Drosophila melanogaster: one gene and its partner. The protein of the gene in region 1 purifies or fractionates together with the protein of each later gene. This does not show direct contact. Each region holds a gene or a part of one and is shown in the gene's direction. Other genes may lie near its edges. The genes, in order: Mybbp1A and nclb.

Region 1 (16,379 bases):
CGTACCCCGAAACGAAGCACTATGTGCAACAGAACGCAGTCCGGAATCGCATGTATTACCTATTTACTTTTTTTCCTTTTGGTTAATCGTGAGCCCCATCCATATATTCTCTCCATATATACATATATATTAAAAAAAAACTATGCTTTAAATGATGCCGTCTCTTTCTATTTAAGGGAAAGGTTTTTCAAAACAATGGTTTTTGGAATGATTTTTGTTTTGATTTGAATAAAATCGAACCGCAAAGGATAACACAACCTTATTAGTTTGAAATAATTTTATTATATTGAAGAATAATAATGCTTAATAACAGATATATAAAATTTCTTTTTTCAACAGTGGCTTGTGCTAGTATCTTAATTTAGTTTGCATAAGCTAAAAGCAATTAAACAAACATAACTACGTTTTCTCCATTATTATTCATATGTACATATATTACTAAGCATTCCAATTGTTAAAATCGAAAACAATCGAAAGTTTCGTTCTACATCATTCGTTCGAAATATGAATGATCCGGTTATCATGGTATTTTTTTGGTATTTTAGCTATATAGTTCGCCGATTTATCGGCCGTACCTCTTCCCCGATCTCGGCCAGAAGCGGACTGGGCCAGTTGGCTGATAGTGCTCGTTCGGCTGCCCCGCTGTCGCCCTTCCCCTCCTCCACCGAGGTCAAGTAATCTCGAGTGATAAGCGGCAGTGAACTCTCGTCTCTGCTTCTCCATTCCACAAGAAACTATAAATAACAGACTACCCACAAGAGACTAGTGCAATTGCAGCAATGGCCCAAACGGAAGTGCTGGTGTTCGGCTCGGCCATCATTGACTTTATAAGGTAGGTGGGCAGAGAAGGCTCGATCCCAAGGAGAATCTTACAAATACAACACCTTTTCCAGCTACACGACCCGTCTACCGAAAGCCGGAGAAACGCTCCATGGGCATCGCTTTCAGATTGGCTACGGCGGCAAGGGCGCCAATCAGTGTGTGGCTGCCGCGCGCCAGGGATCCCGAACAGCTCTGGTGGCCAAACTGGGGGCAGACACATTCGGCAGCGACTACCTGAGACATCTGCGCGAGGAGCGCGTCAATGTAAACCACGTCGAGCAGCTGGCGGAGGAAACGACGGGCGTGGCCCAGATAGCCGTGTCAGATGGCGGCGAGAACAACATCATCATTGTGGTGGGCGCCAACAATCGACTGAGCTCGTGTGACGTTTCCTCGGCGAAGGCGCTCTTCCAGGAAGCCAAAGTTCTGGTGTGCCAGCTGGAGACGCCCGTTGAGGCCACCCTGACCGCTCTGAGAGCCTTCCGGGGCGTGTCCATCGTCAATGCGGCTCCGGCCATGGCCGACACACCCCCCGAACTTCTTCAGTTGGCCAGCATCTTCTGTGTGAACGAAAGCGAGGCGGCACTGATGACTCAGATGCCCGACATTGGCAACATAGAGTAAGTGCGAGTAAGCGTAAACCAGTCGTACTGCCAACTAAATCGGGTCCCACTTCTGCCAGGCACGCCGAAGATGCGGTTGGAAAGCTGATAGCGGCAGGTGCCAACACGGTGATCATAACTCTGGGCAAACTAGGAGCCGTTTTCGGTTCCGCCGACTCCAAGGGCGTGTGCCAGCATGTGGCTGCGCCGAGTGTGCCGCCCGAAAAAGTGGTGGACACGACGGGGGCTGGAGACGCCTTCATTGGGGCCTTGGCCCACAACTTGGCCCGTCATCCAACGAGGAAACTGGAGGAGCACATAGCCGCCGCCTGTGCCGTGGCCTCGCAATCCGTTCAGCTACCCGGGACGCAGTCGAGCTTCCCACACGCTTAGAGGGAAATCCCCAAAAGAATGCAACGCAACAATAAATCTCTATCCTGACGTACAATGATCTATTTAATGGTAATCGTAAGTATAAAAAGATTATGGTCCACATGGGTGTGCTTCGGCTGGCAATTCAGCGTCCAGAATCCAGTGGGTTGCGGACTACAGATGGAGGCGTGGCAGCTTCACTTCTTTCCCGACTTCTTGATGCCGCCTCCTACGAGAGGACCCTTCTTTGAGGCGTTCGCCTTGGCCGCCTCCAGAGCCTTCTGCTGCTCCTTCTGCTTTTGCTTGAAGGCCATGTCGTCCTCGTCCAGGTCTTTGGAGTCCTTCTTCGGCGCCTTCAGAGGCTTCTTCTTACCGCCCTCGCGTCCAGACATACTTGCTCGCTTATACTGCGTGGGAGGAAAAATCTATGAAAATCGGGTTGGATTCCACAACAAAAAGTCACGCACCTTTTTCACACGTTTTTCCGATTTCCGCTGCACGATAACCACGAGAACAATCGATAGCTTCGCGCTTTCGATTGGCTGTGCGTGTTATCGGAACTGGACATATATTTCAATTAATTGATGAAATTATAAGAACAAATTTATATGAAATTATAATTATGTTGTTTCTAAAAATCGCTTCTCGAAGCGAACTTAAAGTCATCCTTAACAGCAATGTGTACCAGCCAAAATAAAAAAATGTCGATTTTGTCGATGGAATTTTAATGACTTTTCGGAAAAAAAAACATAGATAAGTTGAAAAATATTAAACCACTAACTATTCAACTAATTCAAAAGGAAGAGGAATTTACCATCGATTTCTTGAGCGACCTTTACAAAAGCGATGTATCGATGAAAAATCGATTGGACCAGCTCGTCGATAAAGTTGTTGTTTGCTCCAGGTTTACTTTTAATTTCAAATTCAACTAATATCCGGGATTAAGAGTGTAAATCCTGTCAGGAAAACCATGCTAAGGCCCCAGTCATCAGTGCCTGCGCCTCAGCCGCCTGGCAAGCGAAAGAAGCCCGCGGAACTGGAACTGACCTGCGGATGGCGCGACTGCCAGGAGATCTGCACTGGCGAGTGGAGCCTGAACGGGCATATTGGGGATCATCTGGAGCACTATGCGAAGGCCCAGGACGATCGGGGGGCGCATGCGGAGCACACGGAGCATCAATGCACATGGAACTCCTGCGATTTCCGCACCGAAAACCAGGTGGAGTTTGAACGGCATTCGTACTACCACGGCTACTACTTGAACCTGCTCCTGCAGGGGAAGCTGGAGTGCGATCTGCATCCGGAAATCCCCGCCTGCACTGCTCCGGCCCGCCTCATGGAGAAGCTGCCCGCTCTGGGCCAGAACTTTCGATGTGGTTGGACCGACTGTGAGAGGGAGTTCGTTTCGATTGTGGAGTTCCAGGACCACATCGTTAAGCACGCCCTATTCGAGTACGACATACAGAAGACGCCGGAAGACGAGCGGCCCAAGACGATGTGCAACTGGGCCATGTGCCACAAGCACATGGGCAACAAGTACCGCCTCATCGAGCACATCAGTACCCACTCCAACAAGAAGCAGGTGGCTTGCTTCCACTGCGGCGAACTGTTCCGCACCAAGACTACGCTCTTTGATCACCTTAGACGCCAGCCGGAAAACAACAGTGAGTGCGAGACTTGCTCTTTAAAAACACATAAAAAAAACCCTTGCTGCCATATCTATAGCCATACGTTATTCCTGACAAAACCCGCAATGATTTAATTTAGTTTACTTAACTACTTGGCCACCCTCTAATCTGTTACAGCAAACAGCTTCCAGTGCGCCCAATGCTTCAAGTTCTTTGCCACCAAGAAGCTGCTGAAGAGCCACGTGGTGCGACACGTTAACTGCTACAAGTGCACCATGTGCGACATGACCTGCAGCTCGGCCAGCTCGCTGACCACCCACATTCGGTACCGCCACCTCAAGGACAAACCGCTCAAGTGTAGTGAGTGTGACACGCGCTGCGTTCGGGAGTCGGATCTGGCCAAGCACGTTCAGATTGTCCACTCGAAGACGGTGCACCAGTGCGAGCATCCCGACTGTCATTATTCTGTACGCACCTACACGCAGATGCGACGGGTAAGCCACCGTTCCCCAAAGCTGGATTCCTTTCTGCCATTCGCTCGACCGCAAGTAACCCTCCTGTTTCTCTTACAGCACTTCCTCGAGGTGCACGGCAACAATCCCATTCTGTACGCCTGCCACTGCTGCGAGCGCTTCTTCAAGAGCGGCAAGTCGCTCTCCGCTCACCTTATGAAGAAGCACGGCTTCCGCCTGCCTTCGGGCCACAAAAGATTCACCTACCGGGTGGACGAGAACGGGTTCTACCGCCTCGAGACGACGCGCCTCGAGAGCTTGGAGGTGACCCAGCAAATACTGTCGCCGCAGGTGAACGACTCGCTAGCGAAACCGGGCACAGGATCCTGCTACGAGATCGTGGATCCCACAAATACCGAGTTCGAGCGCATCATCGTCTCGAATGATCCGAACGAGGCGCAGCTGATGGGTGAAGTGGTAATCTCCCTGCCCAGCCTAGCAGAGGAGCTGTGAGGAATAGAGCCGCCCGGCAGCCAACCCTTTGATCTCGTGTGCCCTTTACATTACATTAAGCATTTAGTCCTACCTAGAACCTAGTGCGATTGGATGAGATAGCACCCGGGGACGCGATACCCTGCCCACTGCACAAACAAAACTAATCGTAGTGTGTAAGGATCAAGGAGTCAGCCACTCTGGGAATTGAATAAAAAAACTAGCAGCTTAAGGGTGTTGAATTCTGCAGCACTTATAGGAGAAGGCCATTTCTCATTGCTTGTATTGCTGTCATTGAATTTTTGCTTTATATTTGTGAACTTATTTGTATTTTTATTGTGCCTCACTTTTTTAATTTCACTAATTAGTATATCAATGTTCAATATCAGTTTTCATTTACGTTTCGCACCTTTGTATTCGGTTCTTACTTTAATAGAGTGTATGAAAACTGAAAAACTGCCTTCACTTGTTCGCTGGCCATATATTTTAATTCTCCTCCATTTAACATTAGATCGAATCCTTTAACCCCAAAGATGACACAAGAGTTTCAAGGGCTATTTAGTTTTAGTAGGTTCGCACCGAAAAATCCATTGATTCCATTGATCATATTATCATATCGTACGTGCGCGCCTGCTTCTCTTTGCCCAGAATTTCTATAAGTAGCTAATAAGTGACTTGACTTCATTTCTTAAGTTGTGTAGCGAATAAAAATGCAGAGAAAAACGAAATATACAGATGATCTATACAAACTTAAAAGATGATCAGTATTTAATGTGCTTCTACACAGGAAAGTATTTCAACGTATGAAAAATGCTTACTACGCTTGAATCTTTGAAATTTGGGGACCGACCTTGGATAACTTTAGCACTTTAATCGCTGCTGTAAAGCCACACTTCTGTGGCGGCTATCATTAAACTGAGCTCAATTGAAAGTGTAGTCCTTCTCTTAGGAAGATGTATGTAGGTTACAACCTATCATATCTCGAACTCTTTCACTCAGTTTTGCGGCCATTTGTGAGGTTAGCTTCCTCTGCACTCGAAAAAAATAAACACACTTGTGGTGATTGGTTTTTTTTTTTAACGAATTTTAGTTGTTTAATTCTCAAGTAACGTCATCGGAAAGAAATGAGAACATAACACGGCGCTCCAGGTTGCCTTCCGATGCCGAGATGTCGAATCAGATTCCGTCCGTTTACTTGGCGTGGGTCTGGGCCTTCCTCAGCTGGGTGAGGATGTTGGACAACTCCTCACGCTTCCTCTTGGCACGGATGTGGGTGCCCAGGCGGCGCTTGAGGAACTTCAGGGCCCTCTTATCCTTGGACACCTTCAGCAACTCCATGGTGCGCTTCTCATAGGGAGCGTGGCCAACGACCTCGCGGACCAAGTCGCGCATGAACTTGGTGTGGCGGGTTTGGATCTGCAAGGAATTTAAGAGTAGAGTCGTCCGTGTAAACAAAGAATAAACGGGCGTGCAAACTTACGTTCTTCAAGCGCGATCCGCGCAGACCCTTGACCTTCTTGTCGCCGGTGTACTTCACATTCCTGATCTTCGAGGTCTTGTGGCCCTTGTTCAGGCCAATAGCCAGCTCGTAGCGCACTGCCATTTTAACTGAGGATGCAAACGAGAGACTATTAGTGGGCTTCACCTAGCACAAATCAAAGTATTCAATGAAATATCAATGATATAAAAAAAAAAAAAAAAAAGGCACACGCGTGCTCGCGGAAATCGCCAGGCAGCTCTTTCCCGTTTGTGCGTGCGTCTGAAATTGCCAAGCGAGGTGTCCCTGCCCTTGGCGAATTCTGACGAGGAAAAGGGCAGGGCCCGCGTCCCAACTGCACTGTGAGTCGGGTTAGGGGGGACCTTGTTCACTGGTCTTTCGAGAGGCACGCACACATGAAACACAAACTCGCACACAGGTATCAATCTTTGCTGCGACTGCCGCGAGCACGCGGGCGCTAAATAATAGCTGAGCACTCAAAAAAAAAAATATAATAGGAAATGCGGTGCGGATCAAGCGCACTGGAGTTGCATGCGCTTCAGCGCTTGATTTAACACACTTCGCAAGTGATTGCACTACAATTCAGACTTATTTTCGCGGAATAACACTCCACCTCAGACGCTGTTAAAAGAAAGAAAGAGCGAAAAAAGTTGGACAGGAAACAGTATGGCAGTTGGAGATGGGCGATAGTCGTGCCTTATTATCGATAGGCGGGCGGGCGTTGCCAGACTGTCCAATTTGCCAATCGAACCAAATTTGCGCGTGCGGAAAATGTAAAGATTTCAACATTTGGTATTTAGTGGTAAACTAGCAAGAAGCTGATACTGGCAAGCCAATATTATGTGCAAAATATTATGGCTAAACTTCAAAATAGAGACTGACCCCTTGAACAAGAAATAAGGGTAAAGAAATCATCCAGCTTGTAATTTTAAATGCTCAGGGGAAACTTTTCGATAGGCGAATTACCGCCTTCCGATTTTAAATAACAATATGCTCCGATAGCACCCTCCGGCTGTCGATAACTCAACTTTGCGCACGTGCATATAAAATAGAAATAGGACGTTATTTCCGAAATAATTTAAAGGTAAATTAAGTGATCCCCAAAAACAGAGCAGAAATGAAGAGCAAGGTGGATAAACCCGTAACCAATGGTGCACCAAATGCAACCAAGACAAAGGCCAAGGAGGACCGCAAGCGGGCAAAAACTCAAAAATCCGAAGCGGACTCGCAAATACCGGCCAAGATTTTGAAGAAGTCCAAGAAGGAGAAGCCGGCGGAGACCGAGGAAAAGGAAAATACCGCAAGCAACGCCAACCTGAAGGTGTCTCAGATCAACAAGGCCGTTTTTGTGGTCTTCAAAAAGATGCAGGGCAGTCAACTGACCAAGAAGATGATCAATTCGCTCATAACACTGCTGCGCGATGATACAAATGCTGAGCAGGTTGGTCCCTACCAGCTGTCCAAGTAGTTTCGCTTACTAATTGTTGAAATTCTTCGTCCTCAGCGCACTGCGACCACCGGCTACGTGCTCAAGCGCCTGATCCGCTCCACAGGAGCAGATGACATGAAGACGGTGAGCCTGGCCGCCAGTTACATACACTGCATCCTAAACGCCGTGCCCGCCATTGATGCTTTTGAGGTTCTGGAGACTCTGAAGCGAGACCTGGCCGTTGGCAGCCAGCAGAGGGGCAAGGAGGACTCACTAGCGGCCGTCGGTCAATTGGTTACAGCCTTCTGCATTCTGCAGACCCCGCAGTTCGCTAAGGCCGAGCCCAAGCTGGTTACGGCAGTCTTCCAGATTCTGGCAGCCCAGCTAAAGGGCAGGGAGTACTTGGTGTCCCTGTGTGGTGATATCCTGGCGGTCTCCTTTAAACAGGTTGGTGCTTAAGCTTTTCTGAAGGAGATTGACTACAGTTTCTTATGATTTTACGTAGCTACCCGCTGCGATCTTCGAGGAGTACGTGTGGCCACTTCTGCAACCCGAGCTAAACAAGCCGTTGAGTGGCTTGAAAGTGAACACTTGCGATGTCTTGCTCGCCGTGCATCTGACCTTTTCGTCCGTACTGGGACGGGAGAACATTCTAGCCAGCTTGTGGCCCAAGAAACCAGTGTACACACAGCTTTTCGATTTGTATTTCTCCGGTTCCACCATTCACAGCGATGGCGTATATGCCAGATTGGCTAGTTTTCTTGTTAATGGCGGAAAGGATATGCTCGCCGCCTGGCAGCAATATATCGATTCTAAGCAGCCACTCAAACTGAATGCAGCCAAGGCGTGTGCCATCCAAGTACTGAGCCACGTGCTCCTCAACTTTAAGCCAAGGGAAGAACAACTCATCCTGGATATCTTTACACCGACCTGTGTACAGTTCCTGTTGCATGAATGTTCATCTGTGAAATGGGACAAAGGTGAGGGCAAGAAACCGTCGCTAAAGAAGCTGAAGGAGATTTGCTTCAAGTTCGAGGGATCCTTGGTTTTGTGTTACGAAAAGCAGTTCCAAAACGATGATAACAAACTTCACCTGCTGCTCAAACTGCTGGAGCACACACTGCAGCTGGACTCGGTGATTTCCTTGCCGCGTTTCTGCCAGAAACTGATAAATCAACTCAGCGTCGAGAGCCTTCACAAGCTGTACGACTACTACAACAACAAGCTGTACTCATTGGAGGACGAGGACAGAGTCAGCCGAGTGCACTGCCTTAACCAGATGCAATTGATACTGAACCACTCAAAGCTTAGTCAGACAGCCAAATGGCGACAGAAACAGTTGAACTACTTGTTGCTCGCTGGCCTTTTCCACTTAGATGCCAGTAAGAAGCCGTGTGAAGCTGCCCAAGCCAGCGCTTTTAGTCGCCAGTGCGCGGCGCGTTGTGAGGAGATATTCCTGGGCTCCCTGCTGCACAAGTGCTCGGGTCTGCCAGGACTTTGCCAGTTGCTGCAGAAGACATTGAGTTACCTTAACAAAGAGTTGGGACAACCGGATGCGGAGAGCAAATTGCGTTCGCCGAGAGACGAATCACTGCAAAAGGCATGGAAGCAGGTCGAGAAACTGCTGGAGCGGCCCAGCAAGGAATCCGATGTCGTTGGCCAATCATTCGAGGCTCTTATCCTGTTTGTTTCTTTGGCTTTGTGCACAAAGATTCCCCCATCCATCACCGTGTTGGAAGATCTGATTATCTGCCGTAAGAATGCACTGCAAAAGAGCAAGGAGCAAGTAAGTAGAGAACCTATACTTCAATGTCATCCTAAATCTAAAATAACTGGTTTGCTCTAGGTTAACGAAGAGCTCAAATGGCAGGACGTGCTTACAGATGCCCTACTCCAGTTACTTTTGCAAACAGGTCACTTCTGGCGGGAGTTTGTTCAACTGGTGGCCACCGCTTTGATTCCGCACCTTGAGCACGGTAACCTAGAACAGGTCCTCGAAGTGCTCAACATGAACAAAAATCCCCTGAGCAAAAAGAGCGATGGCGAGGAGGAGAGCGATGACGAACTCGACAAGGAAGAATCGTTGAAGGATTCAAGCGATGATTCAGAAGATGAAGATGAAGATGAAGAGGAGGACGAGGGCGAGGACGATGCAGAGTCCCATTTGGCCCAAATTCGAGAGAGCGTTCGCCAGGCTTTGGTCAACGATGGCGACGCTGATGACGATGGCGCCAGCAGCGTGGATTGGAACGATGTGGACGAGGAGCAGGGCGAACGCTTGAATGCTGCTTTGGAGCGGTCTTTTCAGATGTTCCGACCCAAGTCGCGCAAAGCCCAGGAGAAGGAGCGTCCCACCAAATCGGAACGCATTGATAGCACCAACCTGCTGCACTTCCGCATTCGTGCCTTGGATTTGTTGGAGCTCTTCATAACCAAGAAACCAACTCAATCGGTAATCCTGGACGTGCTACATTGCGTGTTCCAGGTGTACAGCCATTGCGCCGCAGACAGCAAACTACAATCCTTGCGAGAAGCCAGTTTGAAGTTGCTCAAAAAGATACTCGCTAGGAATATCGAACTCAAGGAAAATCAGAGCACCGCACCCATTCTGGAAGCCATTGAGCAGCTGATGTCGTCTGGCGAGGAGCATTCAGAAGAGGACCAAGAGAACGGCAAGCAGCCCGCCAGCCGACAGGCCAAAAGAGACATCATTATTTGGCGGGACAGGTGCTTCGCTTACCTGGTCAGCCAGGCATCAGCAGATGGCGAGCCCAAGAAAAGTGCCGTCTGGCCCCTTCTAGTCGAATTCCTGGAGCTGTGGGTAGCCAAGCGACGTAGTCGCCTCTCTCTGGCCAGTTTCGAAGCCCTCTTTCAGTCTGGCCAATGGCAGGGAGTTGCTCCGCTGGCCGTTGTCCTGGCCTCTCACTTGGACGTACAGAAAACACGCAGTTTTCGGCGGGCACAGATACTGAAGCTGCTCAGCGAGCAAGGTCGCCGGCTCGAAGTCGCTTTCAAGGACAACAACTCGTCTTCCAAGAAATTTGAGAAGCAGATAGCCAGATATGTAAATCAGCTAGAAACGAAGGCTAGCAGTTCCAAGGAACTCAATCTGCTGCTTAAGATCCTCGCCCAAGGAGGCGAGAAGTGGCAGAAACTGCGTGAACAAATTCAGCTCGTCGCCAAGGATCTTCAACCCAACAAGAAGGTGGCGAAGCAGAAGAAGCAGGCAGCCGCCAAACCTATGGTCGTGGAAGATGAAGAGTCCACATAACGTAAAAGAAGGAAACACCCCAATAAGAAACCTTACAATTAGATGTATAAATATCTTGCATAATATAGGATACTATTAATTTTTTTGTTCTTTAAAAAATTCTGACGAAAAGTACTAAATTAGTATTGAAGTCATTGAAAAAATAGCAAAAGTACACTAAACTTTATAAAAATGTATTTTTACCTTTATAGAGCAATTTGAGTGGACGTACAACTGCGCTAACGTTAAAAACCAAAATCACAGACGAGGTGGAAAGTACACGTGCTGGCGAAATGTGCTTTTAACATTCGGCACCATGGACTCGTCATTACTGCCTCGCTTTTTAGACACTTCGTTGGTGACAATCGTCAGGATATCGGCGATGTGTTCACTAAAGTAACAAAGAACAACTTATGCATTAATTCGGGGCTAGCTTGCTTTGGCAGCTTTTTACCTGGCGGAACGGCGATCGATGGCATCGCACAGGCTCCCGATAAACCAGCTACCTGTTTGGGTGTGGCGCAGAGCAGCATATCCATTTACCGTGGACATGGCCCGCAGCATGTCGATGTGCTGGTCCGGCGACACGGTGGTCACGTCTATCCTAAACTGAAAGAGGAATACGAAAATGTATAGGCTTTCCCATTCGACGACTTCATGCTTATAAATCTCCTTACGAGCTCATTTGGCTTCTTTTTATGGACAAGCTTCTCCTGGCAGGCTTGTATGATTAGCAACTTCGGTTTGTAGTACAGGGTGTCGTAGCTGCAGAGCAAGTCCTCGATATCCGTGATCTTCATGGCGATGCTGTTGGATGCGTAGACGGCCTCCTCGAAGCCGTGGCTCAGGATGAAGACCACTAGGGAATCGCGCACGAGCGATCTATCGCACGCACTGCGAATGCGCTCTATGATGCCCATGTGATCCACGTTGTCGTACGCCTCCACATTGTATCCCATCGAGGAAAACACCTCGATTAGTCGTTCTTTATCCACATCCGTGCCATCCCGTCTACGCAGTGGGTCGGGCGACAGAAATTTCTGTGGAGAAGGGCAATGTTGTACTTCTTTTTGTTACTCAATATTGCAGAGATGAAACCATATTATCCCTGCTAACATTCCGGTGAAACTTCTGCTGGTTGATAATCAAGGCGATTCCTGCGTTCTCCCGGGTCAACTTAAGAGCATCTATTTGTGTGGAACAGTACGACTGCTGGTTATCCGATTCAATCTCTTGCTTGACTGCCATCGCAGCAGTGCCAGCCGCATCTGGCTCCGGAGCGTTACTAATGATGGTGTCTTTGAGCAAATTTGCTTGCGCCTGCAGACCGTTGGACTTCAAATGGCCGACCAGCAGCTGAACATCGCTGCCTGCGGCATTTATGTCCCCTAACTTTATGCTCCTTCTGGTCAGCCAGTCCAGCAAAAAGATCTCCAGGTACGCGGGATCGTAGAAGCGAAGTGGATCTCCTGCCTGCTGGCTCTCCACCTTTTCGCGAACATCTAGGAGCAAGCGGCCACTCTGCACCAACGACAACTCCTCACACATCCTGTAGAGGCTCTTCAACAGAGGATGGACATGCAGCGTGATCCCAGCGATATGCGGCAAGTAGTGCATTCGCAGCTCCTGCCAGCAGAAACCCAGTCTCCGGAGCACCTTGCGGGCCCCAATAATGCACAGGGCCTCCACGAGATGTCTTCTCCAGGTTTCTGGCCGGGACTTGGCGAACTTTATGAGTAGATCACTTTGCGGGAAGTCTGATCGTGTCATGGCCAAAAGTTTCTGCAGAATGTAGGTGGCATCCGAGTGGTCGTCGCCATAAAGCAGAAAGCAGAGGCCCACCTAGAAGAAAACGAAGGTTCTACTGTTTAATTAACACTTTGGTCTAGCGGATGTGTAAAACATTTGAGTCATATTCGAAAAGTCCTCCCAGGGAGGTGCCATACCTTTTGGGCAAAGTTCATGTCACGTTCCACGTAGATCAGATCGTTCTGATCGATGGTGTCTAGATGAATCAACAGGTTTGATCCGGCCATGGCGATCGGGAATATACAAAAATGTTTCACTTTAGGAAATGGCCGATAAATTGCACTCGCTGACATCCGATAGCCGTGGCCTGAAGAGCTTCCACCGATCGATATCGATAAATGGATATGTTTTCTGCAATAGCGAAAGATCGGGGTGCTACCTATTAATTATACTTAAGAAACAGATGATGTAGTTTTTTGATATAGAAGTTTAACAACCGGTTCAACAATCGGTTAATATTTAAAAATGTCGCAGCCAGCGAGCCTTTAGCTTTAAAAGTAAGCTTGCGTTCACGGTTTTTGGGGAAATACCAAATATACTAGGTAAAAACATCGATTAACTAATATCATCCAACACGACGATATGTTCTTTGCGAAAAATATCGATGTACTGGTATTTTTATGTTTCCACACCTCTAGTTCGTTTAAGTCGATCTGTTGAACTGTTAACAACACAACTCCTGAATATTATGTTTTGGACGAAAAGTTTTATTAATTTAATGTTTTTGTATATTGTATTCTGTCCATGAGCGTAACAGAGACAGACAGAGAGAAAGGGACAGATACTGAGATACGGGGCCCTCAGGCAGAGAAAGAGGGCGAAAGCAAGCTACAAGCGGGTGCGAGCGAGAGCGCGCGCTTGCCTCACGCACATATATATAAATCTGTACATACATATAGTATCAGAAGAAAAAACTAAAGCCGCTATTCGATTTACGAAAACTGGCGAAAAATTCGACGATTTGTCTCGTACCTATCTATGTACCTCACAACCACTTCGTCATCAAATACGTATAAGTCAGATGTATGTCAAACATATATATACATATGCATGTATATACACATCTATGTGAGGCCACTGCTATATCCCATACATGTATGCCTCTATATATATGTATATATTTATCCACCTACTGTACCACTTCCACATTATGTAAGCAGCGACGCAAACAAAACACTAAAGCAGAAAATCCGAAAAGCAAAATGCGAAATGCAAAACAACGAACCAACAAAATCCCATCTATAAACCGAAAACCGAACAGCAATGTTATAACAAATACCGAAAAGTTGTTAATGTTCCACAAAAAAGCATAAAGCAGTCACGCTAAGAGAGTAAGATCGAACAAATGAAATGTTTGTATGGCATAAGTAGTTCCCAGATTTTTGTATGTACTTCAATGCATATGCATGTGTGCGTATGCATGTATGTATGTATGTTTCTCGGGGCCATGTCTCCCCACGCCCACGTACGTGGGTGCTAGAAAGGGACAGATGGTGCAAATTTTTTAAATTGCATACACTTGATTTTGGAACGCCAGCCAAACAAAAAGATAAATTGCGTGCTTTTCTTTTGCTGTTCGTATGTACGTACATATGCAAGTGGAAACTGCGCAGCAGGGAAGCCACACGCATGAACGCCTTCCATTTACAGAGCATTCAAACAAATCGTACCGAAAACCAAACAAAAACTTTCACCTCAAGTGTAACAATTATATTCAAATTCGCTTTGAAGTCGCTGTAAAATATATGTATGTATGTATAAACAAAGACAAAAACATTTTGCCTCGCAGTCGACACACACACGCGCACTCGCACTGCACGCCTCGGCTGTGTGTGTGTATGCCCTGCTTAGATCATGAGTGTGCGAGCGAGTCGACATGCTTGGCAATCGCGAGTCAGAACTAAACACGCGCTCTATATGCACGTGTGTGAGACGCATTGGATTTTGTTATTTTCATCAATCGCAATGATTCCGTCCATCAGCTACATCCAAATATATACACGCATCCGCGCCATATGTACAATGCTACGAGCATTTACATACACATGTACATATGCGCGTGTGGCTCATAACGGTTCACTCCGCTTACGCACAATAATAAAGGCAAACGCCTACGACTTCCCCATTGTTCCTAGGCTCAATGGAAAGCCACTCCGTTGCTTTCGACTTTCGCTTTTCGGATTCTGGAATTTGTTTCGCTGTCCAAAACTACGTATAACTGAATCTTTATGTTAAGCCAATTGTAAAAAGTGTATTTTCCTTTCTCGTTCTCTCCACACAACAAATGTGCTAGCGCAACTTTGTTGATCACTTTTATTTTATACTGGAAGCATGTCCAGGACCCATACCCTTTAATTCATCAAACTGATTTGCTTATTATTTTGTTGCTGCACTTTGGAACTAGCTAAGTGCCAGGCTAAACCTAAGCGATCCGATCCCACTTAAACCAACCAACAAAGAGCAATCCAACCATTGTCAGCGAAAAGTGCTCAAACTTTCCGAGTGCTGAGATAAGGAAGGGTGCCCAAAACATTCATCGCAGCCATGCTGCCCACGCTACAAAGTGACTCTGACTGAATGCATCAGGATCGTATGATCCGGGTGGTCTATCTTAAGTCAATAGTTTCTGTCGCTAGTACTTGGACGTGCCTTCTGAATCCGTAGTCATTTGTGATACCAGCCATTTTATATTGTATTTACCTCAAAAACATTAATGTAGCATTTATTCAAGCAACGCTTGATTTTAGTGTTAACCAATTCCTTTCATTTGTGTTCAAAATTTTGACCGCCAATGGGGTGATTCAAATAATCCCCGAATGATTTTGGAAAAAAAGAATAAGGGGCATTAAACTACATTTATTAATTCGTTTTTATTCACTTAGAAGCGTATTATGGTACATTCCACCTTTTTAGTTAATACTAGCAGTTGCTTTATTTTAAGATACCATTTTATATTGTAATTGGACGTTAAGACAAATTATAAGACGTCCTTATATATGATTAGATTGGGAATTTGACCTTAAAACATATTTATGCATCCATATATGGTATTCAAAATCCGATCCCTTATCAACAGCTTTTCCAAATACCAAACACTTAAGAGTGCAGCAACAGAAGAGGGAGGCCACTTTTTTTAAGGGCACCAATTATTCCAATCTCATCCTGTGAGAGATTAGCTGCCAAATCGATAATGTCTGTCGCTTTAGCGGATGAACCCTTAATTGACTTGGAGGAGGATTTAGAGGACGGCGAGATCGACGACGATGAGGAGGACGAGCAGCAATCTTCAAAAATCCAAGTCCAAAAGAAGACTTTCGTAGGGGACGACGATGTGCAGTTTGTGGGTGTCGAGGCTAAGAACCAAAATGACGACGAAGATGTCGTTTACGTGGGACCATCGACAGATGCCGTTTGCCTCCAAAACAGCAACAGCACCAAGTCAAAAAAGCCTCGCCCATTAGAAGGTGAAAGCTCATTCAGTTGTTTCATTGATTCTTCTTGTTTAATCTGGATGTATTCCCTAGATGACCATGCTAGCAGCATTGAGTTGGCGATTGCCAATGCCCTCAAGAAGAAGGGCATAGAGCCCCCAATGCCCCGCATGCGTTCGTCTAACCAGGATACGAGCGATCAGTCTTTGGAGGGATCCGGGGAGGGACTGGCTACCGCCAATCCCCTTCTTCAGTCAACTCGCAGCAGCAGGCGAAGGAAACGCAAGAAAGAACGTGAGCGCGAGCAGAAGAAAGACAAGGAGCAGCAGGTGAGGCCATCACATTATGTCCAAATGCAACTATTAGATACCCATTAGCTGACAAATGCAGTATACCCTTCTGCTCCAGGAGCAAGATTTATATAGTTGTAGCTAGCCTTCGATTGGCACTTATGAAATGATTTTTACCATATTTACCTTTTTAAATAGAACATTGATCTTGGGTGTTACATGGAAGCGGTTAACCCAGCCAGCGTGACCAAGTTCCACGACCAATTGTTTTGTGTTCCGACCCAACTCCGCGCTTCTCCTGCAC
Region 2 (16,379 bases), on another chromosome or scaffold:
TTCCGAACTGCTTATTCTGGGATGTTATGGCTCACTTTCTCTCTTTCGATTTTCCGCCTGGCAATTGCCGCAAATAGGTCAGTTCAGATGGAGGTTGCTGAACTCTCTCGCCCGCCGGCCAAATGTATTTATGGAAAATTTGTCACATAACTTTGTGGGCCAAGAAATGACGACAGCGATTGCGAATTCAGCGAAGACAGAATTTGCCCAAAGTCTGGAGTAATGCAAAACTTCAATGCCATACGGCTCGTAAGTGGAATGGTAATAAAAGTAAAACCGAAAACCCGAACAAGAAACTGAACACTGAAAACTGGAAAACCACAAGACCACATCAAGCCAGAGGCGAAAAAATACAAACAAAAAAACAGCCACAAGCAAAGTTTTCAATATCACATCACTTGGATGCTAAGAACCCACACTTTGTTTAAATAACTCAAACGATTTTAGTACTTTGCAGCACTGAATAGAAACAACTTTTTGATAGAATCATGGTTTTTTTCCTTGGAAACTCGGAGTCATCATCAATGTGGCATAAAAATTAACATTTTCTTCGTTGCCACCACTCAATTTCTAATGTTTCAGTGAAGTCTATCCCTTTTCTTTTCCCTCGCTTCGTTGGGTTTTTGGTCCGTTTTTTTTTTTTCAAAACAAGAACTTGCCACTTCAGCGGGGGTCCCTCATAAATAGTTAAAGAGTTGTGTTGTTCAATAAAGCAGCTTTGCCACTCCAATCTTTTCCCCCTTGCCGCCGAAAGATCATCCATGGCCAGATTCTTCACTCCATTCTGTTTTCTCCCCTTAACTTAACTCGAAAACTCGTTTCTGTTAATTGTTGCGTTAATTTATATTCTGAAAACAGTGGAAAAAAAAAGTAACAAGAAGTACGTACTCTCTCCTTGTCTCGCCCTCCACACCTCTTACTCACTCACTCACTCTTGCCACACTTAATATGCTCTAATTGTGCTGAAAATATGATCTTGGGTTGATTTCAAACTTGGTTAAGCGGGCAGGCATAAATTGTTAATAAAACATAATTTATGGCATGTGGTTAAATAAGGCATAATATATATGTCTCTAATATCTGAATCTCTATGGTGACTCACTTAGCACAAAAGTCATTCCGACTTTTAATTGACTGCTGATACGTCATTTCCAGATCACCATTTGTCCATTTATGGCTTTAATTTGGCAAACTTGGCAAAAGTAATATAATTTCCCATCTACAACAACTGAACTGTTCGAACTACCCACGACCTGGGGGCCACTTACTCATGGTTTAGCTGCCCGTTAGTCACTCACCTAAGCCGCACATTAAGATTGCAGCGGGCTGGGAACAAAGAAAAATCTCGAGATCCCCCCGCTTGGGGGAATGATCCATAGGCGATCAGACCCGATGAGCCGTTAAATAGAATATCGTAAACCTCAAACCCGAATGATCGGCAATGAAACGAGTACGGACCAGCTTTGGAAATCGACCTCGCCCCTTGGTCGTCTTCCCAAGCCCCTCCACTTCGATCATATCGAGTATAAGTCAATGGGGCATAAACATGAATAGCGGAAACCGAAACAAAACTAAAGTGTAATGTTCATATGGTTAATAAGATGGATTCCCCCTTTCGGCGAAAGAACCTGTTGTTAAATCGAATATTATAAAGTACACTTTCATGCTGGAAACATAAGTATATTATTTCGTATATTTATGAACCCTTTCTTTCATTCATAAACTCACCAGCTATAAGTTACTACGAATAGAAAAATTTGAAATTTAGAAAAACCTTTATCATAAGTACTCTTAGTCAAAGCAATAACAAACAATTTAAGTGTATGATTAATGCAATCTGAATATTTCGAAATGTTTTTTTTTTTTTTGAGTGCTCCGGCTATTATACACTAAAATGTTCGATGTGTTTGGCTTTTTTGTGGGCTAGTGAAAATTGGAAAACCAGAGGCGAAAGGGAAAATTGCGGGGGCGATAAATACTTGGCTAAGTCTAAACGCTCGAGTAATTCGCAAGCACGCTGAAAATGAAATTCAATTGCGAAATTAAATTTCATTGAATTTAATTGCCGGCATGATCGGATCGGATCAAACAAACAAATCGAACGCTCTAATCAAAGCCAACGGAGCATGAAATCCGCCAAGTGACTTCTGAACATTCCTCCGTTGAATGGAGGGAGATTGAATCTGGTTTCATTTGAGTGTGTCTCGAATCCCTGGGTGTGGTCCGGATGCAGTTCGCGATAAGGTTGGAGATCGTGTATTCTCGTACTACCCATAAACATATATCTGTCCGTGCTTTATCTGGAGACTGGAGAGCTCATTTCTTCTATTAAGTGAAACATTTCCTTTAACATCCCCAACTGATAAATGGACAAAAGGGAAAGTAAATAAATAACAAGATGAATATTTATTAGTCAAACGATTAAGCTCTGCTTTCGTTGCAGCTCTGCTCGAGAAGACGGAAATCTATTAATATTTTATCGTTTCTAATTTATTAACCTTTTAAAGATGAATAGGTCATCAATGTAAAGATCCAAACAAAGAATTGATACTAATGAAATAGTTAAATCTTTAGTAAATAAACTAAAGGTTAAGCATAATTCAAGGTCGGTGTAATTTCTGCACAACTTTTACTGCGCCAAGTTCGTAAGTCGTTAGGCTTTTCTTCACGATATATGTATATGTACATATGTACGACCTTACCAAAGAGACAAACCACCCATCTGCTACCTAAAAACTTAATAGCAATGACCCAAAAAGTAAACCAAAAAAAGTGCTTAAAAATAAGTACGCTAATAGCGCGCAAATTATACAAGAAACGCATCAAAAAGATTGGCCAACATTAATGCCTAATCGTTTTAACCTCTTGTGAGTATAAAAAGCAAAGTTACTAACATAGGCAACCAGTCTCTTCGTCAAACTTTGTTTATAAACGAAGTTTATAATTCCCGGACACTAAGCCGGACATGATCTTGGCGAAGAAGTCGGCTTTGGTGTGCAAAAGATTAGTTTTTTTTTCTCATTTTTTCCGCTCTTTGGCCCAACGAAAGTTGTATGCCAGCTCTGACAATTTTTCAGCATTAACCCAAATAAAATTAAAGCAGCCAAAATAAAAATATAAGATATACTGGCCAAAACAAAGCGCGAGGAGAATAGAGGTCGAATGTGTGCCATTGTGTCGATTGAATATTTGATGCCCCGAAGAAGAGGCCTTCTAATTATGCAGAACGAAGAACCGCTACAAGAAAGCAAACAACGCCCCCTCTTCTGAGCGATTCTTTTTGAGCAAAATAAAAATTCTACTTAAAAAAAAGAACAAAAATATATTATATAATATAATAAATTAAAAGAATAGAATAGCAGCTTGACAGAGTCAAACGTTAAGCAAGCAAAATGTTATGACTAATGCACCTGCATCGAAAGTTTTTAAAAACAACTAATAATTACAATACATTTTGTTTGGATATTTTGGACTATGCAGTTAGACTTTGTTTTCAATTGTTATGAAAGGTATTTGTTATTTTTCTGAGTGCTTTTTTAAAGGTATCAAAAACCTGTTGCTCTGTAACTGAAAAGAGCTTCTGCGTAGCTGTCGATTGTAAAGTGAGTTACAAGTTGTTGTTCTCGTTATTTTGTAATTCGACATGCAAAGCACGTGCAATTGTCTCGATTCGAGCGAGCCCCTCCCACCGCCCCTTTTCCTTGGATGACGTAGAATATAGAATGCGACTGGTGTTGTTACTCAGTCTACAGAATATACTTTTGCATATATGTACATCTTGTTTGCCACCGTGAAGGTCTTCTTCGCGGTACTGCCTCGTCATCGTTCTGGTTTGGGCATTAGGCTATTGTCTGGGTCTGTAACAGTGACTGCGAGAAGTATCTACCATCAAGCAGCAACAACAATTTGTATGTGTGTCATTGTGGCAATTGATTTGAGTCGCGTGCATGCAACCTGATAAACCATCGTGAATGGTGTGAATATGGAATGGCTTATAGCCATATAGACAAACTCGTGTATTTCGCCTTTTATGCTTTGTTACTGTTACGTGGCTTGTGCCCAGAATGGCTAATGAGCTGGCCAAAACGGGCATAAGTGCTTGCTAATAATAGCAGTTTATTGCAGGGCTCAACCGAAGTGTTCTCATTGAGTGCTGAATACAAATGCGGTAAGGGATAATACAATATAATATAATATGAGTTAAAATATACAAAGAACTTTACAAACAAGAGATTCCCTTACGAGTTAACGTTAAAGCGAAAACTATACAGTCATAAATATCAAATGATTTATACAATAAAGTATGTTTTATTTACAGACGAAAATATGTTGTCTAATATCTTAGAAAAATAAACAACTTAGTAATCCTATTCTAGCTTCAAAAATAATTCCTTGACTTCCCATCGCATTCATTTGCAAAGTAATTGATACAGTGACATATTCCTATGCCCCCACCCCTTTTTAATTCACTTAATTAATTGGCAACACATGCTCACGAGTGTAGTATTTTCCCTGTTTTTCATACACTTGTCTACAGAAATATGTATGCTTGTATGTGTGTACCTCCCCCGTTGAATCCCATTAACAATGCTTTTAATTAGCCCATTACAGCCGTTCCCCAATCCACAAAAAATTGGCAAAGACAAAGAGACAGAAGCTAACTGTTTTGCACAACGCAATTCGGATTAATTAAACCTTATAGAATGGGTGACGATGAGTGCACCACACCCTGAAATGTGGAAATGTCAGGCAGTTAAATCACTAGATGCTGCAGCTAAATTTCGTCGAAAGCAATACTATTCCATTTGAGTAGCGCCACTTGACTGACTCACTAAACTTGTATTTATATTAAGAATGCTTATGCTCATGGCGCAAAACATTAAACTTATTAATTAACACTTGGCTGATATCTTGGAGGAACATCTTTGAGTCGTTTCTCAACTGGCTTTGTTTTGGAAACGGCTTTTACCACTTTTTCGCTCGTCCGAGCATTATTGTTTCTCTTTTGTGATTAATGGGTGCGTTACCATTGGGATTTAGTGCGCGACTGAGTTCGGCTAATACCATCTCTCTCCCCCCCCCCCCCCCAACCGCCTTGCAAAACCAGCAAAGTCCCCCCATTAGCCTCACCCATGTAGCATCTCTCATGCCTTTTCAATTACACTCCCCTTCTGTGTTTGAATTTTGCGCCACATTTTTAATGCCGAAACCATAAAAGTGCTCATGTGTGTGCAGAAATAAAAAAATATAAAAAATTGGCTAAAATAAAAGCCAGCTTGGAAGACTGAATGCTTGTTAGCAGCAGCAGCAGCTACCGAACTATAAAGTGCACAGAAAAAGAAGAAACAAACCGAAAAGAGCGGCTACAAAAAGTCTGAAATTAGTTTTGATTTTTTTTTTTTTTAAACTCACTTTGCCATGGCGGAATGTCTTAGTCACGCCACCTGCTGCAATCCACTTGGATTTTTTGGGCATAAAGTAGGTAAGGGAAGGTAAGGAAGGTACTAAGCGCACTCCAAATCTGTTTGGTAAACATTGTAGACGAAGCGTGTGGAATTAAAGCCAAACACGATAATTGTGCCGAGACTCTTGGCCAGAGATTGTCAAGGTCGTGCATCTTACGCGAGTAAATCAAGGAAAATGTGAGCAGGTTAAAGAAAATTTCTACCTACTAAAAACAATATTAATGCATCTCCAAATATTAGTTTCTTCCTACAGGATGGTAGATGGTTTTGGAAATGTATCTTTTTATGTAACCTGCTCTTTGGTGTCAGATCATTTTGTAGCTCAATTAAAAAGACGCAGTACGACTTCGGCCTCGAAGTGTATATCATAATGCATGCTTATCGGAAACTACACATTGAACACATTTAGAGTGGCCCCATGCATAGCCGGGAAATGAAGCGAAGGGGCGACGAACAAAGCGAAGAGGAAAAGATACGGATGGCAGGGGATACATGCATATGTATGTAGGTATATACATATGAACAAGCCCCCATTCCCTGCAAGTAATATGAGACATTGCTAAGGGCACATGAAACAAAATAATCAAAACCTTCGCCGGATAAACGCTTGAGTGCAGGTCAGAAAGGAAGAAGGACCCCGCAGACCTCGATGTCCTCGGTAAACACTTTACGGCGTCTACTCGAAATGTATCTCATGGATGCGAAAGCCCGGCCCGGCACGGCCCGGCCCGGCGTTGCTGACTCATTTTCCTTGAGTTCCGAACAGGTTGGCCGACTCACACTTCCACACACATCCGCACCCCTGCAATCCGGACTCAAACAGTCGCACTCAGATACAAATGCAAATGCCCACACAACTGCGCAAACATTGCGAAAAACATCTACTTGGGGTTCGGGAACAACAACTACGCGCAAGCGGAATGAAATGCCCTGAAATTGCATGGAAATTAACAAAACAAAATGCAATGAAATAAAACTAAAAGGTGAGGCTAGACGTGCACATTCGCCATGGCGATACCTTTCAATTGAACTGCTGAGCGCGGAGAATTGTGATTTTGAGATTCAACATTTTGTTATTATAGAAACTATAGAAACTAAAGCAAGGGCAGGTGATATTCGATAATTCGAGATGGTAAAGGTTAGTTATATGCATCACAACCATTTTTTAATCTTGAAGGTTAAGTATCTAAAATACATTTGAATCTCTACTGCATTTCGAAAAGCATATTAAACACTGTTTCTGAATAAGTAAGACGAATGAACGAATTATTCTAAGCTCCCAGTTGAAACAGTGTTAGCCCCACGCAATTGCCCATTGGTATTCAAGGCTAAATGTAATTGGTGGGAAACTGCATTGAATAGTTCGCACATTCAGCATTGTTCTCACAACTGCAAGTGCGAATATACCCGCATGGAACATTCGTATAAGTCGCTGGGTATGTGCACAACTTAAAGGCGAACTAAGAAACACAAGACGACGACAAAATTTACTTTAGACCAAGCTCAAGCTCAAGTCGCAGCTCCAACTCCGGTGCTCGAGTGAACAACTCGATGCAATCGGCCAGCGAATTCGAACGAAAGGTACTTGAAAAAGTGCATGCGGGTTCATTTCCTGTTTGCTCTTGCCATTTTAGCTACACGGCGGCAAATAATGGGTATTATTCACAGAATTTGTACGAAGCAGATAGTTATTTGAAAGAAAGATAAGGATAACTTTGATTATGGACGAAGATTTGTAAGTTATGTAATTGGTTTTCAGCTGAAGTTTTTCTTCAACAGAATATGTTAAGTTCATACATCCCGCAATTATTTATGTAAATCTTATTAAATATTTCTCTAATATGTGACTGAGAACTGCAAATTAGCATTTCATTGCAATATTTGGCATGGATGTTTTTAAAAACTATTTTTTTCTGTGCATCATACAGAGACTTCTTGCCATTTTGCGATGTCAGCTGAACTCGACGACAAACATGCTCAAGCACTGGCGATTTCCCCCCATTTCTACCCCGCCCACTCTGCAGACTTAAAGGTTTTTACATTTATTTTTTACTATTTCGTATTTCGATGTTTTTTTTTCCTGGTGCTGTTGCTTTGTTTTTGCGGCCAACTTTTGCCTTCTTTTCTGCACTTTGGCCGCTTAGCCGCTCTCTAATTTGCCTACGGCGTTTAACGATCATCGCATATTGGGTTTTTGGCTTTACGTCAGTGCAAATTATAACCACGTAGGTTACGATTTTTGACACTTTTCCAGCGACCCGTCTAACGGTATTCGCAGCCATAGTTCAATTTATCTCTGGACTACAGTTATTAATGATTGCTTTTGGTCAGAGCTGCGGGCCAGGAAAGCGTTTATCGTTGGATCGATTATCAATTACATATACACAATTTTTCGGCTGCTTTTTGTCGAAATCATTGGGTCTTGTGATTAATTGACCGTTAGCAAGTTGTCATATTGATTGCGTTTTGATTCGGCGCCGAACTTTCAATTATTAGGTAAACCGAATTGTGCGAAATGTCGCAGAAAAGGTGAGGTAACATTCCTCGGGCTAGACAACTTGGCAATTTAAATATATTTAATATAAACAAAAACAATCGAATTAAAATATAAACTTTACATAAACTGTTTCCCACGTTTCAAAGAACTTGTATGGCGAATGAACAATGAAAGTGTTAATTTTGCTGTTGTAGCTCAACTGGTTCTGGCAACATTTTTGCACAATCAATAAAATTGAATTTAATCTACATTTTAATTTAGCTTCGAATCTAGCTCAAACCGGAGAATGCTTTCATTGTTTCATCATTTTAAAATAATAAAAAACTAATATTAAGCTAACCATGAAACATTTAATCTGTTTAAGATTTGTTTAAAGAAGAACGAGCAAAAGCTTAAAAGTATTAGATTTCATAAATGGCAGATGATTTTTAGTTTATTTAAATTCAATAAATACTTTTTATGATATTTGAACTCAAGTTACAAGTTAATTAATCAATTTTATTTATTAATTATTAATTTTCGCACGGCGTAATATATTTGGGAAAAGATGAAGAAAAGTGAACTTAAACAAGTTGGATTTCATAACTTCAGAATGGTTTCTTAGTGGGGTGAATCTTAAACAACAGGTTTGTTCGCCCAATTGAATAATATTCCAAAACAACAGATTATTCCTAGCTTCCTGATGAGATCACCTAAAGCCACCGCCACTCACCTTTCGGAATTACTTGTGCGATCTTCGCCGGATTCTGGAGGTGCTTCGTACCGCATTCAAATTGGACCAATTGGGGAGAGCAGAGTTACCAACTGGCGTGCTGATCTCGTTAGAATTTAAGCTCGTTTCTTTCCGAGTTTTTCGGGTTTTCAGATGGCAGGCGGAGCGAGACGCGGCCAGGCACTTGGTATGGGTACAGATATAGATGATGGCAGGGGTCTGGGTATAGGTATAGGTATAGGTACTAGGCGGGGGTACTTGTTGCTCACGCGGAGCCCAAAAGCAAAACCTCGGATCTGGACGATGGCCAGAAAATGGAAACGCGATTAGGGGCAGGCGCAAAGGGTATGGGTACACAAAAAAGATGCAGAGCCAGCAGCAGCGCGGAGTATAAAAAAAATAAACGAAAACAATGCCGGAAAAAATCAACATGCACACACTGACACCAAGAATATGTATCTTAAAACTGGTTTAAGATTTGTCGGGGATTTGCTGGCTCGGCCGCATCGAGTGTATGTCTATGGGAGCGCTGTTTGTACTTTCCAATAACAAATCCCACTTCTTGTTTGCCTCTTTTTGAAAACACGCACACATATGTATATTATTATGGAAATATTGTTTCCACTCAGAATCCAACTACGAAACAACTGTTGCACCTCGGTGCAGGATATGAATCAGAAAAGAACTGAAGGACGCAAGCATCCATCACTCACTCACTTTGCAGAGAGCACTTGCCAACGATCTTGCATTTTCAAATATGTTTTTTTTTCGTATACAAATTACCGGCACACGACTCGACCACCGATCGCCGTTTCAAAAACATTCAATTCCAAACACCGACAACGCACCGAACGCACGAACCTCCCGCGACAGGCGCTAAATACAAACTGAGCGGAACCAAACGACACCGAATGCTGGCTAGAGATGGCAAGATACTGCACTGGCGAATAGGGATGGGAGCGTGAGGTTAGTTGATTTCATGACACGGTTACTCATGCACGAACATCGCACGAAGTGTAAAGCGATCCCGAGATGTTACAAATAAACATTTAAAAAACCTTTATTCAAATCAATTACATTTTTGTAAGTTGTGTAACATCCATTATTCGGTTTTAACCGAGCTATGTTCCACGATATGTGGAATACCCAAAGGGATTGAGTAACAAAGGAATGTGATAGTTCTGATTCTCACTGCAATCCACAATCAAGTCAATTGCTGGATAAAGTGTCCTCACATTGCGCTCCGCGTAATAGGCGCCCACGTGAAAGGTCAGCTTATAGATCCCGCCGGGAAATTGACCAGGTTCCAAGAGCAGGCAGCGACCATCCGCATCAGTTTGGGCCGCCCGAAGGGATCTCCATTCCTGAATCTCGTCCAGCCTGGAAACTGTTACTCTCACATTGGCTGCCGCCTTTCCCACCGAAGTATCCTGTAAAAGGTTAACGAAAAATTTTATACATATAAATAAATTGAAACAAAGTTACCAATATGTGGGTAGAAAACTTTCGTGCATCCATCTTGAGGGCAACTTTAAGATTAAAGATCGTAGATATCTCTGGTATCTCAGACGGTAGCAAAAGCTCCAGTTTATGGGACTCTTTATCTTAATCTTTGATTGCATCTTGCATTAACAATGAAAATCACTGATAAGTGGGATATCAAAATAATATGTAAGCCAAAAATCTGTTTGGGGAAATAAATTGGAACGATCATATATATACTTTTTTTTAATGAAGTATTAATTCCAAATAAACGAATAAATTTGCAACAGTTTTTAAAAATATAAAAATCGTTTGATGCCGTATGTTTCAGTATTTGTTTAAAGTATTAGCAAAGACACTAGAATATTCTATTATTCTAGTGTCTTTGGTATTAGTAACAGCGTAATTAATAGGATCTGGTCACACAACCTGCCTTGTTTGAACTGCACGTGTTTATCAATTCGTTTGGTGTATCAAACTAAGTTGAAAAATATAATCATAATGGCTGAGGAAGGACCACCGGAGCCGAGCATTGATTTTGTCCCAGCTCTTTGCTTTGTACCACGCGGCGTGGCTAAGGATCGTCCCGACAAGATCGTGCTGACGCAGGCGGAGCTGGCCAGGATTATCGGTGATACGCAACAGGAATTGGACGAGGAGAGCGACGACGATGCAGAGGAGGGCGAAAATGCCGAGGAAGACCAAAACGACATGGATGTGGACGACCACGCGGATGCCAATAGTGAGAACCGCGATCCGCAGGACGAGTTCCAATTCCAGGAGTATGACAACGAGGCGAATGCTAATGTCACCAGTCTGGCCAACATCGTGGACGCTGGCGAGCAAATCCCCGATGAGGACGAAGACTCCGAGGCCGAGGACGAGGTGATCAAGCCCAGCGACAACCTCATTCTAGTGGGTCACGTTCAAGACGACGCCGCCTCCATGGAGGTGTGGGTTTTCAACCAGGAGGAGGAGGCTCTCTACACCCACCACGACTTTCTGCTGCCAAGCTTTCCTCTGTGCATCGAGTGGATGAATCACGACGCGGGCAGCGAAAAGGCGGGCAACATGTGCGCCATCGGCTGCATGGATCCGATAATCACAGTCTGGGATCTAGACATACAGGACGCTATCGAGCCCACATTTAAGCTGGGTTCCAAAGGCAGCCGGAAGCAGAACAAAGAGCAGTATGGACACAAGGACGCCGTGCTGGATCTCTCTTGGAACACCAACTTTGAGCACATTCTGGCCAGCGGGTCCGTGGACCAAACTGTGATTCTGTGGGACATGGACGAGGGCCAGCCTCATACAACCATTACCGCTTTTGGCAAACAGATTCAGTCGCTGGAATTCCATCCGCAAGAGGCTCAAAGCATTCTTACCGGCTGTGCCGATGGATACGTGCGACTCTTCGATTGCCGCGACGCTGAGGGCGTCAACTCGTCCAGCATTGAGTGGAAAGTTGACGGTGAAGTGGAGAAGGTCCTGTGGCATCCCACACAGACCGACTACTTCATCGTGGGCACCAACGATGGCACCTTGCATTACGCCGACAAACGTTCTCCTGGACAACTGCTGTGGTCCGTAAAGGCCCACAACGAGGAAATCTCCGGTGTGTGCTTCAACAACCAGAAGCCTAATCTGCTGACCTCCACCTCCACGGAGGGCACCCTAAAGGTGTGGAACTTTGATGGCACAGAGGCAAAGCACGTCTACGAGCACGAGTTCAACATGGGTCGCTTGCAGTGCATGCGCCAGTGCCCCGAGGATCCCTACACCCTGGCCTTCGGCGGAGAGAAGCCTCCGCGCTGTGCGATCTTTAACATCAAGAACTCGATAGCCGTGCGCCGAACGTTTGGAATCCCTGATGCAGAGTAGGCAAATCGTACAGCTACGTATTTATCTGTGTATATGCTTTATATGACTTTTAAATAAATATGAATTATATATAAGAACCTTAATGATTGACTTTTATATTAATTAAAATTTATTGATAACTTGCGCATATATGCACTTTACACTTTTATGCTTAAACAACTAATCGACATTTCAGGGGGGATGGGTCACAAACGAAATACAAAACATTAATCCTAAACATTCCGAGCATTCCTTAACACTACATTACGTATACCAAATAAGCTTATCTGTGCTCCTAACTCTTGAATAGACCCACGCACATCAGGAGATTTCGGCGCGTAAAGTGCAGGCTGACAAATGGCGAGTTCTTGCTGGGGAAAGTACGCATGAGGTAGACGTCCTCGTCGTTCTCATCCTGATGGTGCGACACAGTGATGTGATTGCTGATATAGTCTTCGGTAACCTTGTGAAAGTCCCACAGAGTTAGATTGTTATCCAAGCCGGCTGCAGCCAGGACTGTTCCATCGCGACTAAAGGTGATCGTGGTCACAGTGCTAGTGTGCCTCAACAGGGTGGTGACCAGGGATCCGTTCGACAGATCCCAGATGATGATATTGTGATCTACTGAACCCGAGGCCAGATACCGGCCGCAGGCGGAGAAGGCCAGAGAACTCACCGATCCCTTGTGGCCCGTCATCAGGCGTACCGACTGACCGGTCATGTTGTCCCACAGGCGTACCGTGCGATCGCTAGAACCGGTGGCCACATAATTGGAATTGGGATGAAATTGTACACAATCCACGTCCGACAAGTGACCCACGAATACGCGCAACGCTTGATTGGAATCCGTGGCCCACAGACGAGCAGTTTTGTCGTACGAACAAGAAACAAAATAGTAGCCATGCGGCGCAAAGCGAACATCCCACACCGGGTAAACGTGCCCGCGGTAGGTGACTACGCAGGACCAGGTGAGCAGAGACCACAGCCTTATGGTGCTGTCCTCGGAACATGAGAGCAACAGGTTCATCTCGGGGGCAAAGGCACAGCGGTATACGGGTCCGGTGTGACCCATTAAGCTCCTGGTTACCTCACCACTTCGGTCATCCAGCATACGCACATTGATATCCGCCGATTCCTTGTCCAGTTCGCGAAGGGAATCTGCATCCTTCAGCGTACGCAGCTTCGCGGGCGTCAATGACCAAATCCTCACGCTAGAATCGCCAAATCCACAGGCCAACATCGTGGAATCGTCTGAAATCTCGGCACAGGTTACGCCCTGATGGGAATTAAGCACCGTGTAGAAGACGGCAGAGGGCAGTTGATCCTTGCTGAGGGCTAAACGCTTGCTGGCTTCCCTGAGAGCCTTAAGCTTTAGCAACTTGTCCGAATCCTTCAGTTCCGGCAGGGGAATTCTGTCGATGGATGGAGCATTCGGATCCGACTTGGACTTTTTCGACAGCAGGGGATCCTTTTTTGGCTTTTTCTTTTTCGGACGATCCGGGGCATCCGGATCATCGTCCTCCTCCTCTGGTGCCGGCGCTGGAGTGGTCAGAGTCTGAAAGTCCACCTCCTTGAGCAGTCCGTAGTACACCCGCATTTTGTTGTCCTGTCGCTTGGCCTCTCCGAGGTGCGAGCCCGCGGTGGCGACGCACTGCAGCTTGTTGCGCGCCATGCCCTCGTATGTGTCGAAATGCAAGTACTTGGAAACAATATCTGCCACCACTTCCTGCCGGCGATCCTGAATGTGTCGCTTGAACAGAGAGTGCGAGTCCCTGGACATGCGAATGACAAACTTATCCTGCTCCATGGCTACTACGAGGTCATTCTCCAGCAGCTCCTCGGGCTTAGACAGCAAAAGAAGGTTGAAAAGACCCTCTATGTAGTAGCCGTCGAGATCGCATTTGTACTTCTCAATGAATTCTTTGGCCTTCTCCCTTAGTCCACTGGCGAGGATCTTGAAGTAGATCTGCACCAGAATTGGGTACAGAACCATGGACAGCTCATGCTTGTATATGTCCAGGGAGTCCTCAACGAAAGTGCGCAGCTCCTTGTATGCCTGCTCATAGTGCTGAGCATCAAAGCTGTCGTCGTCGATGAACTTGGCCAGTTCCTCTGCAGCATTGGCCTCCGTCACCGCGGACTGTTTATGACCCTGCGCCGGAGATTGGACATGTTTCCGCTCCCGGTTGGCATCGCCAGCTCCCAAAACTGCGCCCAGCACCTGCTGAACATCACTTTCGCTGATTTCCGACAATTCCACACTGCTCACATTCGCCTCTTGGCAGAGCAGCTCCTCAGTGCTCTTCAGCTGGTACTTTTTGATGAGTTTCAGCAGGCACAGCAGCTCACGCTTGTCGTGGGACAATTGAGTACCGTTTCCCCCGTTTATATTGCTCACTTCCAGGCTCATTTTCGCGGAAAATTGAAATATATGGAACTTGTGTACTATTTTGTTATGCGTGGAAAAGTGTGACCAGGTTGGCATCGGTTGAAAACGGCCAAGTGGAGAATGAAATATACTAAAATGCACCAAGTACAGTCAAAATATACAGTAGCCACTAGCGAAGACGGATTCTAAAAATAAATTGTATTAATACATTATAAATTATATCTTTTTGCCAATTTTTGGAATTACTTAAAATATAATGACATATTTCATTCTTTCATTTTACTACAAAATTAATATTTAACTTTTATGCAGGTCAAAGAAATTATTTGAAGATGTGCTTATAAAGGTCTTACTGTGGACAGCTGACTGAATACTTTTAGTATTTTTTGAGCAAATATCTTACCAGAATCAAAACATTCGTAATGAAGAGGAGAGTAATTGTGAAAAAGGTAAAATACAAAGTAACTGGCCAAATAAACAAGCTAATTTTTATAGCAGAGGGTAATAATTTGCTGTGCATTAACAGAATTAACTTGCCATTGCATATTTCAGTGTATTTGTCTGGCGCCTATCCCCCAACTCCTTGAACTTTGACACCGCCTCCTCGAAATTAACCCTTGTACTCGTGCTTTCTGTTGTGTTTAGTCCATATTTATTGTAAAAAATGAATGAAAATGATGATGCGGTAGGTCCATATGTAACATTTAAGCCATATTAGCTAATATCGTGATCAATTCCCGCAGAAAAAAGTCGTCGGCAAGCGGAATTCGGTGTCGTTCGATCAACAAGATCCAGGACAGCCGAGATTTAGCTTCTCTGGGAGAGTACAGGAGCTAGTCGAGGGCTACAATTCGGCCATACAGCTGCTGGCGCCCAAGTGGCCCTGGTTCCTCTACCCCGGATATCTGACATACGCCGTATACTGGCGTTACGCCAAATATTACAAGGGCAAGTTTCTGCTGACCCCCATTCCGAACCGCCTCTACGATCTGCTGATCAAGAACGAGCAGATTAAGTCGGAGCACCTGGTGTTCGCCAGTCAGGAGGTGTACGAAAACTATGCGGAATCGCCGGACGTCAACTTTGTCAACTTGGTTATCCGCGGCAGGAGGGTAAGAATCGGTAAGCCGCTAGCTTCAGACGAAGGAAATATGACCCAAACGGTTATCAAGCAAATGCTCCAGGAGGCGCCGCATACGATTGTGGCCCAGATCTTGCCGGCTGCACAGTGCCAACCCAATTGTCTGTACGTTCAGGTGGGTATCTAGTTCTAAATAAATGGAATATTTTCTATAATTCTACATCGTGTAAAATTTCAGGAGAACTTCTACGGCAACATATTGGATCGCTTTCAAATCCGCTCCAACTGCTGGGTGCAGGTAGAGCATTTTGCCGATGAGCAGACAATACCTGGAATAGCAACCAAAGCACATGTGTACTTAGTCGCAGATCCCCATGAACTTCCCGCCGAACTGACAGAGGTCATCCTGAGCAACTATTTCAATACACCTCGACTCATGCATCGTGGACATACCTACCGCATCGAGGTGAACGCAGAGTTGGTGGGCACTGCGACTTATGCCCACTATTACCTGATATTCGCTCACCTACGCCACGTCCACCTAAAGTGTATTCACCTGGAGACAAAGGGCAGCGAGTTCGAGCTGCAAGCGATTGTTGCCAAAAACTTTAGCAACCTTGTTCAAGTGCCTGCATCTCACAGTTTCCTGCCTCGTCAAGTGCTTGACAGCATGGCCATCGTTGAGAACTATCCAAGTGGACTTCGAAAGCCCTATAAGCTGTTGCGCTCCTCAGTAGATGCTTTCCTGCCAAAAAAGTCCGCCTGCCTGTCGTCAAAGCACATATTTCCTGTGTTCCTCCTGCAAGGCGAGCGAGGATCGGGCAAATCAAAGCTTGTGAGCGCCGTAGCCCAAGAGTTGGGGATGCATATTTACGGAGCAGATTGCGCAGAGA

Evidence for each region.
Region 2: the proteins of Mybbp1A (region 1) and nclb purify together in Drosophila melanogaster (affinity purification with western blotting, with the first as the bait; one study listed by BioGRID). This does not show direct contact.

Annotation. Positions count from the first base shown.
Region 1 is NC_004354.4:622,903-639,281, forward strand, and holds Mybbp1A (MYB binding protein 1a), read left to right. Parts: upstream 1-6,870; 5' UTR 6,871-6,983; coding exon 6,984-7,307; intron 7,308-7,370; coding exon 7,371-7,742; intron 7,743-7,800; coding exon 7,801-9,081; intron 9,082-9,141; coding exon 9,142-10,566; 3' UTR 10,567-10,731; downstream 10,732-16,379. Other genes in the region: CG13369 (uncharacterized protein), read left to right, coding at 780-832, 894-1,442, 1,505-1,817; CG13364 (uncharacterized protein), read right to left, coding at 1,994-2,188; Hinfp (histone H4 transcription factor), read left to right, coding at 2,767-3,460, 3,602-3,918, 3,997-4,389; RpL36 (ribosomal protein L36), read right to left, coding at 5,560-5,784, 5,849-5,971; Dredd (death related ced-3/Nedd2-like caspase), read right to left, coding at 10,804-10,936, 11,000-11,154, 11,223-11,585, 11,644-12,387, 12,492-12,581; su(sable) (suppressor of sable), read left to right, coding at 15,545-15,818, 15,879-16,114. UniProt on the Drosophila melanogaster protein: Has a role in rRNA biogenesis, cell proliferation and tissue growth by contributing to the localization of nclb to the nucleolus.
Region 2 is NT_033778.4:10,865,180-10,881,558, forward strand, and holds nclb (no child left behind), read left to right. Parts: upstream 1-10,568; 5' UTR 10,569-10,657; coding exon 10,658-12,037; 3' UTR 12,038-12,117; downstream 12,118-16,379. Other genes in the region: CG30016 (uncharacterized protein), read right to left, coding at 9,796-10,104, 10,160-10,192; Taf5 (TBP-associated factor 5), read right to left, coding at 12,312-14,426; Pex6 (peroxin 6), read left to right, coding at 14,828-14,854, 15,149-15,661, 15,725-16,379. UniProt on the Drosophila melanogaster protein: Chromatin-associated factor that regulates transcription. Regulates Pol I-mediated rRNA biogenesis and, probably, Pol III-mediated transcription. Regulates the localization to the nucleolus of Cdk7, a regulator of the Pol I-elongation factor TFIIH.